Linked DNA regions of Neurospora crassa OR74A. The protein of the gene in region 2 purifies or fractionates together with the protein of the main gene of each other region. This does not show direct contact. Links are inferred from orthologs where the notes say so. Each region holds a gene or a part of one and is shown on either strand. Other genes may lie near its edges. The genes, in order: hsp78, NCU04636 and acp-1.

The links.
Region 1: the proteins of NCU04636 (region 2) and hsp78 purify together in Saccharomyces cerevisiae (affinity purification with mass spectrometry; 3 studies listed by BioGRID). This does not show direct contact. The link is inferred for Neurospora crassa OR74A from reciprocal best matches to the Saccharomyces cerevisiae genes NFS1 and HSP78.
Region 3: the proteins of NCU04636 (region 2) and acp-1 purify together in Saccharomyces cerevisiae (affinity purification with mass spectrometry; 4 studies listed by BioGRID, with this or other methods). This does not show direct contact. The link is inferred for Neurospora crassa OR74A from reciprocal best matches to the Saccharomyces cerevisiae genes NFS1 and ACP1.

The regions. Positions count from the first base shown.
Region 1 is NC_026501.1:2,990,298-2,993,897, forward strand, and holds the start of hsp78 (heat shock protein 78), read right to left. Parts: upstream 2,722-3,600; 5' UTR 2,548-2,721; coding exon 115-2,547; 3' UTR 1-114. UniProt on the Saccharomyces cerevisiae protein: Required, in concert with mitochondrial Hsp70 (SSC1), for the dissociation, resolubilization and refolding of aggregates of damaged proteins in the mitochondrial matrix after heat stress.
Region 2 is NC_026505.1:1,378,009-1,381,735, reverse strand, and holds NCU04636 (cysteine desulfurase), read right to left. Parts: upstream 3,000-3,727; 5' UTR 2,789-2,999; coding exon 2,518-2,788; intron 2,446-2,517; coding exon 1,622-2,445; intron 1,434-1,621; coding exon 1,011-1,433; 3' UTR 649-1,010; downstream 1-648. UniProt on the Saccharomyces cerevisiae protein: Catalyzes the removal of elemental sulfur from cysteine to produce alanine. It supplies the inorganic sulfur for iron-sulfur (Fe-S) clusters. Plays a role in both tRNA-processing and mitochondrial metabolism.
Region 3 is NC_026506.1:4,099,120-4,102,908, reverse strand, and holds acp-1 (acp-1), read right to left. Parts: upstream 2,885-3,789; 5' UTR 2,549-2,884; coding exon 2,339-2,548; intron 1,747-2,338; coding exon 1,729-1,746; intron 1,511-1,728; coding exon 1,430-1,510; intron 1,275-1,429; coding exon 1,179-1,274; 3' UTR 715-1,178; downstream 1-714. Other genes in the region: nuo21.3c (NADH-quinone oxidoreductase chain I), read right to left, coding at 3,472-3,548, 3,655-3,789. UniProt on the Saccharomyces cerevisiae protein: Carrier of the growing fatty acid chain in fatty acid biosynthesis. May be involved in the synthesis of very-long-chain fatty acids.

The DNA.
Region 1 (3,600 bases), on a different chromosome or scaffold from region 2:
GTAACATAAGAGGAGAACCAGTAACAAATGAGAGATACAATAAAGATACAACTGCTCGCCATCAACCTGGGATCAGATTAGCAGCAGCGGGCCACTTCATGCCTCAAGAGCAGTCTAAGCCTCAGCCTCAGCCTCCTCGGCAGCCGGAGGCTGCTCCTGCTGCTCCGCGTAGACATTCAGTCCGCTCCTGTCCTCCTTGATTTCCACCACCGCCTTATCGCCCGACTTGATCTGTCCACGAATGATCTTATCCGCAAGCCCATTTCCAATCTCGGTGGTGATGAGCCTGTTGAGCGGCCTCGCGCCAAACTTGGGATCATATCCCCTCTCAGCCAGCCACTGGCGGACCTCTTCGGGAACGTCGAGGGTGATGCGGCGATCGTTGAGTCGCTCCTGGAGCTCCTTCAGGCGGATGTCAACAATGTCCCTGAGCGCCTCCATAGCGAGACGCTTGAAGATGATAAAGGAGTCGATGCGGTTAAGGAACTCGGGCGGGTACTGGGATGCGACGACGTCCATGACGGCCTGCTTGACGTCTGGGTGGATGTCACCGTCTTCCGTCTCCTTGTAGGGGACCATGGGGTTGGCTCCAACCAGGATGTCGGCACCGAGGTTGGAGGTGAGCACGATGATGGTGTTCTTGAAGTCAACCTTGTGGCCCTGGGCGTCGGTCAGGTAGCCCTCATCGAGGACCTGAAGGAGCAGGGCCGAGATGTCTCTGTGCGCCTTTTCGAACTCGTCGAGAAGGATGACGGCGTAGGGCTTGCGGCGGACGGCCTCGGTCAGCTGGCCGGCGTCTTCGTAGCCGACGTAGCCGGAGGGAGCACCGATCAGGCGCGAGATGGTGTGCTTTTCTTGGAACTCGCTCATGTCAAAGCGAACAACGGCGGTCTCGGTCGAGAAGAGGAAGCCTGCGAGCTTCTTGCACAGCTCTGTCTTGCCGACGCCGGTGGGTCCGAGGAAGAAAAAGGAGGCCAGTGGGCGGTTCTCGCCGCTCAAGCCGGCTCTTTGCATTCGCACTGCGTCGGCAACCGCCTTCAGGGCCTCGTCTTGACCGCGGACAGACTCGCGGAGGATGTCTTCCATGTGAATCAGTCTCTCCGTGTGGCCGCTGGACAACTTGGAGATGGGAATGCCAGTGATCCTGGAGACGACGTTGGCAATGTCGTCAGCGGTGACCGAGTCATGGATGAGAGAGAGATCACGGGTAGGTCTTTCGCCGTCCTTGGGTAGCTTCTTTTCCAGGTTTGGAATGACGCCAAATCTCAATTCCGAGGCCCTGGCAAAGTTTCCGGTTCGCTGTGCTTGCTCCAACTCAATGCGGGCTCTGTCGAGCTCTGCCTGGGTTTGCTTGATGCTGTCGATTTCGGCCTTTTCCTTCAGCCACCTTTCCGTCAGTACGGCGACTTCATCTTGATACTTCTTCAGGTCAGCCTCGAGCTTCTCGCGGCGCTCGACGCTGGCAACGTCCTTCTCCTTTCGTAAACTTTCCAGCTCAATCTGAATGGTCATGATCTTCTGGTCCAAGCGCTGGATATCGTCGGGCTTGCTTTCTTGCTGTAGGCGAAGCGAGCTGGCGGCTTCGTCCATCAAGTCGATGGCCTTATCGGGAAGGAAACGGTCGGTGATGTAACGGTTGGAATAGGTAGCGGCAGCAACCAGTGCTCCGTCAGTGATACGGACGCCATGGTGAACTTCATACTTCTCCTTGATACCGCGCAGAATACTAATGGTATCCTCCACTGTCGGCTCGCTGACGATGATGGGCTGGAACCGGCGAGCGAGAGCAACATCCTTCTCGATCTGACGGTATTCAGTCATGGTGGTTGCACCACAGCACTGAAGCTCACCTCTAGAAAGAGCTGGCTTCAAGAGGTTCGACGCATCAATGGAGCCTTCGGCCTTTCCGAGGCCAAGGAGAGTATGGAGCTCATCGATGAACAGGATAACCTCTCCGTTGGCTTCTTGCACTTCGCCCAGGACCTTCTTCAGCCGCTCCTCAAAATCACCCCTAAACTTGGCTCCTGCAATAAGAGATCCGAGATCGAGACTGATGACTCTCCTGTTCTTGATACTTTCAGGCACCGCGCCCTTCACAATCTCCAGCGCAAGGCCTTCAAGAATGGCTGTCTTGCCGACACCGGCGCATCCAATGAGCACCGGGTTGTTCTTCGTTCTCCGTGACAGGATTTGGATGGTTCTCTGGATTTCCGCCGCTCTGCCGATGACCGGATCGAGCTTTCCCTCTCGTGCTTTTGCTGTTAAGTCGATACCGTATTGTTCCAATGCTGGTTTCTCGTCCTCACCCCCGAGGTTCATGCGATGGGTACCGCCTGGGGGGCGTGGTCTGCCGTTGGCATACGATCGAGTCGCTATTGTGGGAAGAAGACGAAGAGAGCTGGCTAGATGAGTGGCATTGAGTGCCGGTACGGTTACGCCCAGCGCCGGTGCCCGGGGAAACTGGCGGGTGGTTCGCGAGAGAGAGGCCCTCGACGCCTCACTGATGCGCCGAGTGGCAGTTGATAGCAATTGGCGCCTTGTTTGCATTTTGAGACTTGAGTACGTGTTTTATTTCAGGGGAACGACTAGTCTAAAATCCAACTTGAATCATTATAGAGTACTTTGAAACGAAGGGTATGTCTCTGGTTTATATGGCCTGACGTAGTGCCACTGACCGTTGACATGGATGGAGGTCGAAAGCTCTCGCAACTTCCAGTGGCACTGACGCCGTGAAGCTGGGGGAGAGCTTAGGTACCTACCTACATACAGGGCAGTACTTAGCTCCTTATCTTATCGGAGCTTCCATGTAGGTCCCGTCTTCACGATGGAGTCTTCGGTCAGTTCGGTGGGTTCCTGTGCCTGGTCTGTGCACTGTCTGTATTTAATGGCCAGGAAATTTTTCGCTGTGTGAAATTCTCCCCGTTTTGGTTCTTCGTGTGCAACCGCCGCGTTTGAACAGCGCCATTGTGGGAGACATCAGAGAGAATGGCTCCAAATTGCTAAAAGCTGGCAATGCCAGAAGTACGCCGCGTCGGTGTCTGTCATTAGTGTAAGTTCTAGCACCTTGTTTGATATTCTCCTTCCCTACTCCTCCGTTACCGGTACTCCCACGCCCATCCCGTGATGATCGAATTGGTCCGTGTTACCAAGCAGACTTAAGACCTCTGCAGATGACGACGAAACCAGCATTTATGCGACTCTGACCCTTTTGGCATCTCATTCAACTTGGAATATTGCTTCTTTTTCGCAGCTCTTGAGCTAACTCATGAATCGTAGTTGTTGTATCTTTGCGCATGCCGAGTGCTTGTCCAATGGAGCAGCCCATCTGAAGTTGGAATTTGGCAACCCTACGGAGCCTAGTGTAGTCTTTCCTCGTCACCATTACCGATTGTCCGGTGCGTTATGGGCGGGTGGGAGTATCAAGGTGGTCCGAGAAGGTTGCTGGTTTCAACAGTTGATAGATTATATCGTGTTTGCTTAGCAATAGTTTATTGAATATTTCTTAACTGTTCAAGGGCTTAATGCTAGTAACTTTTGGACGTAGGGGCATGTAGAATGTGTGCACCATGTGCGAAGGCACTCCGATTCTTCACATGTATC
Region 2 (3,727 bases):
AGACCTTCCCGTCCATGAAAATTCAGGGTCCTACCGAAATCTTGGCCTGGGGTTGGAGGCAATGACGGACTGGAGAGGCCTGAAAATGGCCATGTGAGCCTTGTGTCAGTTCATCACTTCCGAAATGTCTAACCCGCTTTTTGCTCTAATTGGTCCAGTCATGGTCTTTCTTGTTTGTTCCAGTTCGTAGCTTCCAGCAACTTACTAGTCATTGCATGTGGCAGCAATGTCCATTGGATGGCCTTACCATAGTGTGTGCCTGTGAAGATGTCGTTTGTAGTCTCACAAAGCACACCAGAGACTATGATGTCATAGGCGAGAGGCTGCCAATAGGGGTTCGTTCGTCAGTTCATCCCACCATCTCAAACGAAACTGTGACATCATAAGTCGTCGCAGCCACCAACGAGCCGAGCTAAGCCCCTCAACACCAAGGCGGTTTTCAGGTGGAACCCTTGACCCTTAGTTCTGAGAACGTACACTACTATGTACACACTCACTCATTGTCTGGCCTTCGACCTCGGTAACTGGCCACATTGTATACGCACGCCCTTTGTAGAGTTCTTCAGCAGAACCATCGGGTTGGGGGGTTCAGAACAGTCACAAAATGGACACGATCTACACACAGCCAAAGTCAAATGGAAAAAAAGACGTTTATCAGCCACAGTGCTGGGGAATTATGTGTATCCATTATATGAATGATGAATTGTTCTTCTGACACCTCCGAGCGCCGCCTCCCAGCCCTATGGTATCATTCTCTTGCTCATCAAAACAAAGGTCATCCGCAAATATCGCTTACATACATGATAGTATACAATGGGTCATGTTTTGCCCCTTGCTTCCGTCCTTGCGGGAGCCTCGGCAATTCGTAAAGTTGGCCGTATAAACAACCCGAGCGGCCTGTAGTGTTTGTGAAAAGGCAGCGCAGCGGGAGAAATAAAAATGCAATAGAAACTCCGCCCAGTTTATAAACCGTGTTAAAATACCGCACATCAACCACATCATGTCACCTCTCAGTGCTGACTCCACTGGATCGTGTTCAGGTCGATACCCTCCTGGACGAGCTCCCACAGAGGAGAAAGCTCACGGAGGAAGCCCACACGCTCCGTTACGGCCTTGAGCACGTAGTCGATCTCCTGCTCGGTAGTGAACCGGCCGATACCGAAACGGATACTGGAGTGGGCGCTCTCATCACTGTTACCCAAAGCACGGAGAACATAACTAGGCTCCAGAGAAGCCGAAGTGCAAGCACTGCCAGAAGAAAGTGCAATATCCTTCAAGGCCATCAAGAGGGACTCACCCTCGACATAGGCGAAAGAAACGTTCACGCAGCCGGGGTAGAAGTGGTTGGGATCACCGTTCTGGCTGGTGTGCTCCATGGAGAGCAGACCGTTGAGAAGACGGTCGGAAAGGTGCTTGATGCGCTTGGAGTCGTACTGTTGTAACAGTTAGCGCCCATCCTTGAACGAGAGATGCATTAAATGTGGGATATGGAAGAATCATGATCAGAGAAGTTGCTGTCTATCAACAAGGAGTCCTTGTCACGGGACTTCAGAAAGCCATGCATGTGTAAAGCGACTCATCATAAAAGGGGCAAAGGAAGACAAAAGAGACTGTAACATACCGGCATTTCTTCCTTGGCGATGCGGCACGCCTCTCCGAAGCCGACAACGAGCGGAGGAGCGAGCGTGCCGCTGCGAAGACCTCTCTCCTGACCACCACCGCTGATAATGGGGTCCAGTCTGACTCTTGGCCGACGACGGACGTAGCATGCACCAATGCCCTTGGGGCCGTAAATCTTGTGGGAGGAGATGGACATCAAGTCAATGTTCATGGCGTTAACGTCAACGGGGATCTTGCCAACAGCCTGGGCAGCGTCGGTGTGGAAGAAGATCTTCTTGGACCGGCAAAGCTTGCCGATTTCCTCGAGGGGTTGGATGACACCAATTTCGTTGTTGACAGCCATGATACTGACGATGGCGGTGTCGGGACGGATGGCAGCCTCCAGCTCCGCCATGTCGATCAGGCCGCTGCTCTTCACTGGGAGATAGGTCACTTCGAAACCCTCGTCCTGGAGATGCCTGCAGCTGTCGAGGACACACTTGTGTTCTGTCTGGCTGGTGATGATGTGCTTCTTCTTGCCGGACCGGCCAAAGAACCTAGCGACGCCCTTGATACTCATGTTGTTGCTTTCGGTGGCACCGCTGGTGAAGATGATTTCCTTGGGGTCAGCGCCAATCAGATCAGCAATGTGTTTCCTCGCCTCTTCAACGGCCTTGTCAGTCTCCCAGCCGTAGGCATGTGTCCTCGAGTGGGGGTTGCCATAGACGTTGGTGAAGTAGGGCATCATGGCATCGAGCACTCTGGGGTCGATGGGGGTTGTGGCCTGCATATCCAGGTAGATGGGACGCTGTCCCTCATCCATCACGGTAGCATTGCTGAGAACATCTAGTTGAGTCAGCAACGAGGACGACTGCGCAATATGTCTCCGAAGAGGTGGGAGGTGATGATGATGCTTACCAGCCATGGGGCTGACGTGTTGGCTCGAGCCATTTTGCGCGCTTATAGTGAGGCCCTGCTTCTCCATCTCCCTGTGATCCAGCTTGATAGCATGCTCGGCCTGCACGTCGGCGTTGTTCCTCTTGGTCTCGGTCACATAGCTCCTGGAAGCAGAAGCAGTCTTGACAGCAGCCGCAGTAGTCGCCCGCGACAGCACACGCGCGCTGCGGAGAGGAGCGGCCGCGGCCAAGCGCGATGCCTGTCGCAAGACGGACGGCGCAATGGTGGACATGGTAAAAGGAAGAAGAAAGAAGGAGAGGAAAAGAGAATATGGTGGTGAGGGTGATGGCGGATGAGGGAGAAAAAGTTCGTTTTGTAACCAAACCTACAAAAACGGATGGAGGCAGCGGGCGGGGCGGCTCAAAACACACTCAGAAATTCAGATGGAGCTGCCGCCTCCCGCTCTTCGGCGGTCGGAGTGGAATTTCCGCCATACAGAAAAGAACAAATCGAAACAAACGGCATCCGCACGCGGACTTGGCCTCGGAGGGGTCGGTGATAAAGGAATGTGCCAATGAGGGGCGACAACCAACAAGGTTTGGCACTTTGATTGGTCATTCTGCCATCGGATGGCCCCACCTGTTTCTTTCTCGGACATCGGACAAGCGCGTATGTACGTACGGCGAAAATGACGCTGCTCCAAAATGTTAGAGAATGGGCCGCCGGGCATGACGGAAACTGAACGCTCGATGTGCACCGCGGCGACTGACTTGACAAATACAGTGCGGAATGTCCACTTGTGAAACGGACTCCGCGGACGCATCTGATCCATCATTGCACAGAAAGGAAGAGCACTGACCCGGGGCAGGCATCCATCTGTTCTCTCAATCGGCATGTCCACTGGGATGAAAGCTACACTACAGCGGGCCCCAGACCCAGTCGGTCTACCCCGTCGTTCCAATTCGTTCCTTTCCGGGGTCTCATCGACCAAAAGCAGAACAACCGATGACGGTACCTATTTACCTCCTCGGTAGTATTCTGTTTCCATTCGCATTGGATGTCTGCGTTGGACTATAACTTGAACCATCAGTGACATGCCATATAACCGCCGACAACCTACTTGAATTCCATTTACACTGCTAAACTATTTAGTAGCATCTTACCTCTAGGACAGCTACCTCTAGCTACTTTACCTCCTACCGTTGAAGACCGAATCCTCCCCGAGGAAGTT
Region 3 (3,789 bases), on a different chromosome or scaffold from region 2:
CATCAACTTTGTTGTTACCTCACTGAGCCCCTCGCTCGGCGTCTTGTACGCACACACTATAAAGGCAGGTTAACCGAAGTGGATGGAGTCGATACTATTGAGATTCCCAGGAGTGAATGAACGAATCAATGCCTCCTAAACAAAGAGAGAGAAAAAAAGAATTAAAAAAAAAATTTGTAAAATATATAAAAAATAAAAGATAGAAAGAAAACAAGACGAAGAGGAAAATAAAGGAAAGAATATCGGTTGGTACGGAGCCCAGTTTTAGCTTGAGGTAGGTACCGAACAATTCTGGCTTTACGTGATCTTGAGGGCAAGTTTCTGAGGTGGTGGTGAATACATGCATACCTTAAGGTAGGTATCTTCATGCCGCGATCTAAATATTGAAGTGGGACATTTAAAGGACCAGACATACTCCGTCGTAGTATCAAGGATCTCTCGTCGGTCACATCTTCTTCACTTGGTCACGCAACAAAGTTGACATTTTCTCTTGAGAAATACCACGTATCTATTCAGTTTAAAGGTAGATACATCTAGATACCCAGTCAGATGGTTTCTCCTGGTTCGCCAACTTCGCTCGATTCAGGTACTGGTCTGTGTTTGTTGAACTGAGCAGTGATCAGACAGGAAGACATATAAACCCAGGCCTTCAAGTTGAGTGCGCTCCAGTCATGATTGTTCTCTTTACCTGAAAGGGGGGGGGGGGGGGTATGTAAGTAGTGTGTAGGTACGGATATAGGCGACAAACAAAACACAACGCAACAGCACAAGAGTTGACACCAACGCTATATTGAGCCTGCCACAATACCACTTTAGTGACCACCAAACATTGCAACGTGTCGCCGCGTTGACCAACCCAGACTAACCACTCTGACAATGATAACAACATCAAGACCAAGTCCGACCTGCCCACAATTCACATCTAGCCCGTACCCATCACGATGCTCCATTCCATTCGTCATCTCTTCTTTCATTCAGGTTCTAAGTTTTCGTATGGTACACAGATCGAATCGAATCCCAAACAATGACAAAGATATGTTTCGAATCGACCTAGTTAAGGATAAAGATAGAGGTGAAAAGGTAAGGTGGGTAGGTAGGGAGAAGAAGTATGCTTTATATTTGCGCAAGTAGTGGGGTTTCTAAAACGCTCGAACAAGGAACGAAACAGAGGACTTTTTTTAGTTGGCATCGGGCTGGCTGAGGATGTACTCGACGGCCTTGTCGACCGAGTGGATCTGGTCGGCGTCCTTGTCGGGGATCTCGATGGAGAACTCCTGTTGCGGGTAGGTTTGTTAGCATCGTGTTTGGCGTCCATGTGCTATGACTGTGTTTGGGTTGAAGGGTGATTGTGATAAGAGGCTGAGCTTGGGCCGAAAAGGGAATATGACAAGGGCCCGGAATAAAAAGAAAAAAAAAGGGAGCAACATACCTCCTCAATAGCCATAACAACCTCAACGGTGTCCAAGCTGTCAAGACCGAGGTCGTTGGCGAAGTGGGCGGTCTCGGTGATCTGTGATGCGCAAACTTGTGTCAGAATCTCTCATCCCTGTATCTTTGGTCTCGTTCCATTGCATCTATTCTTGCGGTTTGCCCGTCTCGTCTCTCCTTCCAGACTGTCAGGCCGGGAGCACCAGGGCACTGGGATTGACCCATCATGACCAAAAATCACATCATAGTTCGTCTCCGTGACGGTGAGGAGGAAATGTTGGTGTTTGCGTCTGTACTTACGTTCTTGGGGTCGTTGACCTGGAAAGTAGATGTTAGCTTGGGCCTGGAAAAAGGTTGCGAACACGGGACTGTTGTGGCTTCTGAAGAAGAGGCTGGAGGAGAGGGGAGATCCAGCCGAGGTAAGGAAGAAAGAAGAGCAAGAGACAAGAAGTTGACCAGCAAGATAGCAAGAGGAGGAGGGCAAAAAAGCGAGGGGAGAGCATCATCATCGGAGCAGAACCAGCCCAGCCGGCAGGGCAGACCCATTCGAAGAGCTCCCAAGTTCCCGATAAATCCGACCATGGCGCAGCGTGTGGAGCACGCAGTGCTCTTCATCGTATTCCATCTCGTTTTGTCGCGTCTGCGCAGCCTTGATATGCTCTTCGCATCTTTTTGGTCTTCCTCCGTTTGTGTTCTGTTGTCCGGCTGGTTTGCTTGCGATGATGATGCTCCCCCGCACGCTCTCTCCTCTTGTCTTCGCGTAGCGTATGTCCCTAGACCACTCGTATCCCTCTGCCTCTTCACACCTCTTTCTTATCTCCTTCCTTTCTTCTGCTCCTCCTCCTCATCCTCCTGCTCGAAGTTTGTATGCATGTCGTGTCGGGTAGGTCTCTTGTGATGTAAAACGCACCTTGTCAAATCCACTCAACACCTGCGCAATCCTGCTAAAGACCTCATCCTTCTTGAGATGACCACCGGCGCTGTAAAACCGGACAGCCTGGAAGGCAGCGACCTTGGGGACGGCCTGGACAAAAGCAGGACGGGCAACACCAGCGCGGACGGCGGAGGCGACGGCGGGACGGGCCACGCGGGCGGCAGTGAGGGCGGCGGTGCGGAACATTTTTTGTTTTGTTTGGGTGGGCTGTCGCGGAAAGTGTCAATTGCGCGGGTCGGTCGGGTGTTTGAGGGTCGGTGGTGGTGACAGGAAAGGCTGTGGCCGAAAATGAGTGTGACGCTACTACTCGGTGGTTCTCGGACGAGGTTGTTGCGGGTTTCTCTGGCTGGAAGCGGATTTCTGGGCGGTGGTTGGCTGGAATCAGCGATGATGATGATAAATTTCTCGCCTACTGCCTATGGTACGCCGGGGGCGCGGGAAGCGGGTGCGGGCAACTGCGGGCGGCGGCGGCCAACGAAGCTAACAAACCCGCCTCTGACTCTGGAGCTTCAGCGTGTGGAGGTACCTTGGTACGTACAACCTCGATGCTCCCCCGCAACTGCAGCCATGGAAGCTTCAGCTCGTTCTGCTACTCGTCAGCCGAGTCACGTGCAGGTCGCTCAGGTACCGTCTTGTACACTGCGGAGAAATGTGTCAAGCAGATACTCCACTAACACCCCACGGGCAGGATCACTCCACTCGTCTGTTAGACGGGTAATCCCGGTTGATGGATACGATGGGATGGAGTTCATCACGATACAGCTTGTATCTTACAGATGGTACCGTACACTAATTGTACATTCAGCCTTTCAAGCATCTTTAGGTTTCTTGATGCGTCCCTTTGGCCGCATATAGGATCTTCCCTGGCGAGATGACTTTCAAAAAGACAAGAAGTTGGATGAGGGACGCAATTCACAAATGTATCTACAGCCTTCTTTTGCCTGTCCGCCTGCCTGCCTGCCTGCCTTCTATAACACAATGGTGCGTCCTGTTGATACCGCAACCCGTCCGAAACTGCTGGTTCCGAAACTCTAGCATAGCAACAACGAAAAAAAGAATCTCTGTCTTCATTGTCCGTCCTGTTATCCGGTCTTCAAGCCACAACCCCTTTATCTGTAAGGTGAATCGGCGCGAATAGCAGCCGCAAGCTCAGGCTCCCACTTGTCTCCGTTAGAGAGTAGCTTTTCTGTATCTGTTGTCAGCACATGTCATATTTTCCTGGCCCCCCGACAGCAAGAACCTATCTCCAGCCAGCACCAGGTTATCACGGCATCCCCCAGAAAAGAACTCACCCTTGTTATACAACAACTCCTCCCTCGTCTCCGTTGCGTACTCCGCATTGGGACTCTCCACAATCGCATCCACGGGACAGCTCTCCTGGCAGAATCCGCAGTAAATGCACTTGGTCATGTCGATATCGTAGCGGG